2 linked regions of the Bombyx mori genome follow. The protein of the gene in region 2 interacts with the protein of the main gene of each other region in a pairwise test. Links are inferred from orthologs where the notes say so. Each region holds a gene or a part of one and is shown on either strand. Other genes may lie near its edges. The genes, in order: rabenosyn-5 and vacuolar protein sorting-associated protein 45.

Evidence for each region.
Region 1: the proteins of vacuolar protein sorting-associated protein 45 (region 2) and rabenosyn-5 interact in a two-hybrid assay, tested with the Drosophila melanogaster proteins (2 studies listed by BioGRID). The link is inferred for Bombyx mori from reciprocal best matches to the Drosophila melanogaster genes Vps45 and Rbsn-5.

Annotation. Positions count from the first base shown.
Region 1 is NC_085116.1:3,152,466-3,156,390, forward strand, and holds the start of rabenosyn-5, read left to right. Parts: upstream 1-1,357; 5' UTR 1,358-1,525; coding exon 1,526-1,942; intron 1,943-2,062; coding exon 2,063-2,210; intron 2,211-2,443; coding exon 2,444-2,664; intron 2,665-3,133; coding exon 3,134-3,328; intron 3,329-3,810; coding exon 3,811-3,925.
Region 2 is NC_085122.1:2,067,565-2,071,389, reverse strand, and holds part of vacuolar protein sorting-associated protein 45, read right to left. Parts: coding exon 3,789-3,825; intron 3,357-3,788; coding exon 3,219-3,356; intron 1,585-3,218; coding exon 1,336-1,584; intron 263-1,335; coding exon 1-262.

The sequences.
Region 1 (3,925 bases), on a different chromosome or scaffold from region 2:
TAAAGAACTTGTATTACAGGTACCAGATAACGGAAATAAATTTAAGATTTTTATTATACACATACATATATTTAATAAACATCCATAACCCTGGAAAAGAAATTTTATATTTATCATACAAATATCCTCCCGTGGCAGGTTTCGAACCCGCGACCCCCTTGTGTAGTGACCATGTCACTTACCACTACACCAGACGGCCGTTGTATAACAGTTGTCAGTATAACACACTTGTTGAATGTCAAAATATGAATAACAATGTTAACTCTACCACTTGTTCATTCATCGTTGCCCAGGCCTAATTTTCCAAATTCCAAAAAAAAATACAAAAAATTAAACGTGTTTATAGTGGCAGCGGCAAAAATAAAGATAAAGCTGCAATGATTGATTCGTTCATCTAATCAGTTCAAATTCGATGGATTTACAGTATTTTTATATAGACGTGAATAGAACATTAATACATCTAAAGTGCTTACATTAAAAACCTCTAAAATTTGTCAAAGTTCTCAAGAGAGCGAAACGGTACTGTACGTCTTTAGTGTCTTGTGCTCTACAGAGTATAGAGTCGGCATTCAGTGAGTACTGCTGCCTTCTCTGATTCTTTTTTTTTTGTCCTAACTATGCTGATAGCCCTGAGAGGCTATTTCAACTTCTCCTTGACGTGTAGATGAGCTCACGGGGCTCAAACCGGGAGTGTTGCTAACACTGGTCCTAGCAAGAGCAGCGCTTCGCGGAATCTACCATCGGATCGGAAACGTGATCCGGCGAGAAACTCAGTGGGCTCTGTCTATGACGTTAATTCACTCGTCGAGCCCTTCCACGGTTTCGACTAGGACGGTGACCGGATTCCTGATTCTCTGGCCCCTTGACTCCGTACAGGAAGGGCCGCTCAGGTCAGGCCCTTGTGTTTTATACCGCATGGTCACTGAGGAATGTTCTAATAAACTCTTCGTCATCATTTTTCCTCATAGCCCGCAGCTAACCAGAGTTCCTTTGTGGATCTACTTAATTTTTGGAGGTGGGTAGATGGACGGATTGCTTGTATCCCGAAGGCTTCAGAACGGATGGGCGTACACGGGCAGCCAGGAACGGTGGGATATACTAATAACTGACCGATAGCCCCCGAAGGAAACCTAATAGCTCGAGAGCAGCTGTTTCGCAACCTCAACACCGAATTTCAACTCTAGGGTAAACTATTAGCGTTAAAGCTAGAAGCGACGAACATGGCTTCCGAGTGACTCCCCTCTACGATTTTTTCTGATCACTGACATTTTTTTATTTGTTGGAGTGTATTTAATAAAGCCCATAGATTATACACTTAATATATACGAATAAAGCCTATAAAAAAAAACACAGTGTGGTGTTGAATTAATGAAACGCACATGTATGGCTCAGCTGACGTTTGACACTTACTTCCTCTTGACAGTAATCACAATTACTGTGTGATTAATGTCTAGTGTTCACCTTGGTGATGATTAATAATTGCAGTTAATTTATAATGCTAAATTGGTGAGAAGTGATATTAATAATGGCAACGGCCAACGACGATGAAATTCTTGAGGGCTTCTTGTGTCCCATATGTAAAGCAGATCTCAAATCCGCCTCACAACTAACAAATCATTTCGAAAGTCTTCATCAAGAAGATCAAGATGTTTTGAAATCATTAAAAGACATTTTTGGTAAAGCAAAGACAATAATACTGAATAATGACAATGCTGATTTGAAAGAGACATTCGCGCGTGCTTTGAAGTTTAATTACCAAGATTATTATGATGAAGAGCAGGTGATCGGAGTATCACGTAGTTCAACCGATTACTTTAAGGGTGTGAGGTTTTCCAGGCTTGAAAGATACGCTACGGAGACTAATAAGCTGTTGATTCGGTTGGATAAACTCATTTGTAACATGCCAAGTGACCCTCATCAAAGAAAAATTCATGAGCAAGATGTATGTATTAAATAATTATGTTTAATAGTTAACCTGGTAACATTTAACTAACTAAAATAATATAAATGCCATTGGAATGTTAAAATAATTTCTCATTTTATTGTATATGTATTTTTCCAGGCTGTGCCATGGTTAGATGGTTCATCAGTTAATCTGTGTCCCAACTGTGCGAAACCCTTTCACTTGACACGCAGGCAACATCATTGTCGACTATGTGGCTCCATACTATGTCATGACTGCTCTGTTTTTCTAGATATTGAAGTAGCTAGTAAGTTACACATATATTATTTTAAATATTCTTCAATTATGTTATTAATATAGTAATTAACCAAAAGCAATGACCTTATGCAACTCTCCAGTATTCTAAAAAGGCACCTAACTCTTGATTGAACAGGGAAAACAAAATAATATATATTTTAGTTTAGTATCTTGTATTATTGCAGTGTAGAATTACAACTCCGATTATCTTGCCTGTAATGAGTGTATGATTTTACATTTCAGAAACTATTATAAATCCATCAGCTCCAAAACCAGTATCAAATCCGGAACTAAAGCTAACAGAGAAGAATGGATTACGTCTCTGTGAACATTGTTACAATTTGATCAAACTGCGGAAACAAGTGCAAGAAACAAGAAACACAAAGACTGAACTCGTAACGGCCTATGAAGAGATGAGGAGTCTTATGGAGCAAGCCAAACCAGCTGTTGCTATGTATGAAAAGGTATTTATAAGAATTTGTGACTACTTGTCTTGTAGTGTCAATAGAAAATATAAAAAAAAAAGAAAAAACAGTAACTACATATTAAGTACATTAAATTTCTTCTTACCAATTTTGTAAAAAATTTATTATTTTCAAACGGTACTGTTATATTCAAATATTATTGTTTTTACTTGTGTAATGTATTAGTTTGGGTATTACTAAGTGCGGATGGCTTAAAATAGATACACAATGAACTGACATGTTACCCGTTTAGTTTGCTTAGGTTCATTCATTCATTCATTCATCATCAGCGACTATTGTCATCCACTGTCGGACATCTCCCTATCCATACCACTGAGCCCCGTGTTTGGCTCTCCTCATCCACCTCTTCCGGCCAACACTCGGAGATCATTGCATGTGCTTAGGTTCATAATTCACTAAATAAAATAATAAAACAACAGCTTAAGAACAGTTTCTACATACATTACAGATGTGCCAAAGTCTCTTTGATGGTGAAACAACCTACAATATGTCTGATGTGAATGCAATGCGAGGTCGTATAGGGAAGTTGGCTGAAGGCATAGACTTGCTGAGTAAGCAGATAGTCAGCTTCCCGGCAGAGCCTGGCACAAGGCAAGCCAGGCTACAGAATGCTATAAGGCAAGCTGCAGGACATTATATTAAGGTAAATAAAAATGCTTCAATATTTATTTAAAGTGAAACTTTAAATTTTTAACTTTAAATAAATATTTACCCTCAACTAGTTTTTAGAGATTTCTAATGTAGTCATGTCGGAATCATGATTTAGACAGCGACTTTGTATTGCTTACTTCTATAACCATCAGCTTGGCTGTAATAAAAAATGTTTAGAACAAAAGCCTGGTAATATTCTTAATCTTCCCATGTACCTAACACGAATTAAAACCATAAAATAATTATTTTGTTCCTTAATTTTGGACTGAAATCTTGTCAAATTTGGATTTCTGAAATTTAGAGTAGATGGCTCGCTGGAGTCATGTTCTTACTGACTACGAAAAACATTTCAACACATCTAATAATAAAAGTACTGGATACTGATTGTAGATAATAAAGAGAGAAAAAAAGAAGAAAATATATTTCTACGTTTATTGCCTTGACATTCATTTTCAAATAACGTTCTGATTTCAGGAAGACTTACTGTCCTTAAGGAAGCTCCCGACCGAAGCTCAGATCGAGGAGGTGCGTCGTCAGCGCTACGAGCGTGCCGAGAAACAAATACAAATGGAGCGGGAACGTATGGAGC
Region 2 (3,825 bases):
ATGACGCCGAGTTATGTATGGTGGTCCCGCCGAGCACCACCTTGGCCCCCGGGTTGGCCTTGTTGATCTGGTGCACGCACAGCGACTCCTCGTACGTGGCCCCGCCCACCACGAACACGACGACGTGCGTGGGGCGGCGGCCGTCGTCCCCGCCCAGCGTGGGGTACTGGGCCTCACGCAGCTTGCCCCTCAACAGATCCTCGATCGTGTCCTTCAGGGGGGGCGTGTGTTGCGTGTATATGTTTTCGACGCCGTTCAGACCCTGATAGTTTAGTACACTTGTTTAGCTCATAAGGATCTCTTTGCATCAATATACAGTACACAACGATGAATACTACACGTAGCTCTTTGGATAGGCACTATCGGCTAATGTTTTAATATTTATTTATTTATTTAAGGATTACCGACAGGGTTTACAGTAAGACATTTAACATTGACATGTATAGAGCAATTGATAACTGCAACTCTAATTATAGGCAATCACAGCATGCATTACATTAATATATTAATAGAGATTTAACAATACTATTAATAATAATAAAAAATTAAAAACAAAAGAAAGACAACAAGGGCAGTAATACCCGAGTACTCAGACCAAGGCTGAGGCTGAGGTTCAACAACAACTTTTTATAATTTTGTTCTTAAATATTGGAAGGGAATCGCCAATTATGTCAAGGTTTTATTTATGTAATTACTATAGACGTAAACAAATTATGAGAGGTTTTTTAATACGTTTATTTACGGTTATTCTATTCCGATCTTATCATAAGCATAATGCGTGTGATCATGCAACTACCCGACTATGATTGCATAAGAGAAACCTAGGGGAGGTTATTAGAGCTTATGCAATCTCAAATTATATTTTTACTGGCACAGAGGGCGCGGTGGTCCTTTATCTCCAGCTCGGCAGTATGAGACAGGAGATGGAAGACTCAATTGAGACATGGGTATTACTAATGGGTACTTTCGGGCCGGTTGCGATCCAGAGTGGCTTGTTTGACTAGCCGATGCCTACGCGCGCATTGCTGTTAGCGTGGACCTATATGTTACTTATGACGACGCTGTAGCTGAAAGTAAGTATTGTACTTTTTGACGAAGCATGTTGCTGGTAACTCTATTTCTGTAATCTGACGAAGCGTGTTGCGGATAATAACATGTACTTTTAGGTTATTAAAATAATATTTTGTGTATTGAAACATTCAAGCCATCATGTTGTTATAGATACAGACGGGTGTGAAGCCTTGCGGACACGGCACTCGATTGGCGTGCTAATAATAAGAATTTTAGGAACTGAGCGATGATAAATCTCTAGGTATCTGGATTATTCTAGATTACCTTGAAGAGCCTGTTGGTGATCTTGACCGCGTCCTGCAGACCGAAGAGGTCCCCGTGTCGCGCGTGCGCCCCCCCGTACTCGAGCGCGGCCAGCGGAGCCCCGTCCGCCGCCCCCCGCGCCCGCAGCAGCTCCAGCGCCGCCCCCACCCCCTGCCCCGCGTGCTTCTCGTAGCGCAGCGCGTACAGGCTCGCCAGCCGCGCCGCGTCGCTGTCCCGCAGCGCGCCGTCCGCCAGCAGCGCCTTCAGCCGCTGTGCCGGGACAGTGACGTCACGCTACCCGCACACCCTCACCCTGGACCCCACGTACGGACCACTAGGCACTAGACGTCGTAGCAGCGCCTTCAGCCGCTACGGGACAGTGACGTCACGCTACCCGCACACCCTCACCCTGGACCCCACGTACGGACCACTAGGCACTAGACGTCGTAGCAGCGCCTTCAGCCGCTACGGGACAGTGACGTCACGCTACCCGCACACCCTCACCCTGGACCCCACGTACGGACCACTAGGCACTAGACGTCGTAGCAGCGCCTTCAGCCGCTACGGGACAGTGACGTCACGCTACCCGCACACCCTCACCCTGGACCCCACGTACGGACCACTAGGCACTAGACGTCGTAGCAGCGCCTTCAGCCGCTACGGGACAGTGACGTCACGCTACCCGCACACCCTCACCCTGGACCCCACGTACGGACCACTAGGCACTAGACGTCGTAGCAGCGCCTTCAGCCGCTACGGGACAGTGACGTCACGCTACCCGCACACCCTCACCCCGGACCCCACGTACGGACCACTAGGCACTAGACGTCGTAGCAGCGCCTTCAGCCGCTACGGGACAGTGACGTCACGCTACCCGCACACCCTCACCCACACACCACGTACGGACCACTAGGCACTAGACGTCGTAGCAGCGCCTTCAGCCGCTACGGGACAGTGACGTCACGCTACCCGCACACCCTCACCCCGGACCCCACGTACGGACCACTAGGCACTAGACGTCGTAGCAGCGCCTTCAGCCGCTACGGGACAGTGACGTCACGCTACCCGCACACCCTCACCCACACACCACGTACGGACCACTAGGCACTAGACGTCGTAGCAGCGCCTTCAGCCGCTACGGGACAGTGACGTCACGCTACCCGCACACCCTCACCCACACACCACGTACGGACCACTAGGCACTAGACGTCGTAGCAGCGCCTTCAGCCGCTACGGGACAGTGACGTCACGCTACCCGCACACCCTCACCCACACACCACGTACGGACCACTAGGCACTAGACGTCGTAGCAGCGCCTTCAGCCGCTACGGGACAGTGACGTCACGCTACCCGCACACCCTCACCCACACACCACGTACGGACCACTAGGCCTTAGACATCGTAAGCCGTTGGTCTAACCGAGTAATATCAGCCACTCGGTTAAAGATCTTCCAAAGAGATAAAGATTATTACCTTCCAAACCTATCTATACAGTGTATAAAAAGCCACATCACTGTGCAAATTCCACAGCAACTATAACCCTGTTCTAAGGCAATACCTACTTGGTGACAAATTACTTCCACCGCCGCGGACAAAATGGGTTAAATATTACTAGTGGAAGGACCTCTTGTGAGTCCGCACGGGTAGGTACCACCACGCCACATATTTCTGCCGTGAAGCAGTAATGCGTTTCGGTTTGAAGGGTGGGGTAGCCGTTGTAACTATACTGAGACCTTACAACTCATATCTCAAGGTGAGTGGCGGCATTTACGTTGTAGATGTCTATGGGCTCCAGTAACCACTTCCATCCACCTATGCAGTAAACCAGATCATGTCCAAAGAGGACGACAACATACAGCATGACTGTGTCCTTAACTGAGTGATGAGGTAGTGATCGAGCGAACCTGCAGGTGTTTAGAGTGGTCTGACTGGCAGACGATCTCCTGCTCCAGCTCGGAGACCTCGAGCAGCTTGTGGCGGCCGACACAGGCCGAGAGCTCCCCCACCACGGTCACGTGCTTCGTCACCGTGCCAGACATTTTCTGCGCACACGACGGGGGAAATGAGGAGTCATCCGCGCACAATCACAACTAGGGTTGGAACCTCCGGACACGGCAACCCTTCTTCTTTATTTAAAAAATAATAATTTTTGGACTTTTTGGCGGGAACGCGAGTAGTGAAGTTGTGTGATTTGTTTTATTTTGTCTATTTAGTGTTTCTTCAGGTTTAAATGTGTAATAACGGTGGTTTATTAACTGTTTAATATCTGTGAAAGTGCACAAATGTGGGAAAATTAAACAAAGCCGCCGAACGTCACTTCTCGAGATCCTCCAAAAAGTCAACTGAAAAGATCTCAGTAACACTACACTACAGTAAGACTATACACAAGATGACATCGAAGCGTGACAGAATGTAGTCAGTCTTCTTCGAGTCCAGCGTGAATATTGTGAGTCTTCTTGTAAGTCCAGCCTTACCTTGAAGAGTGGGTACTGTTCCACGAAATTTTTCATA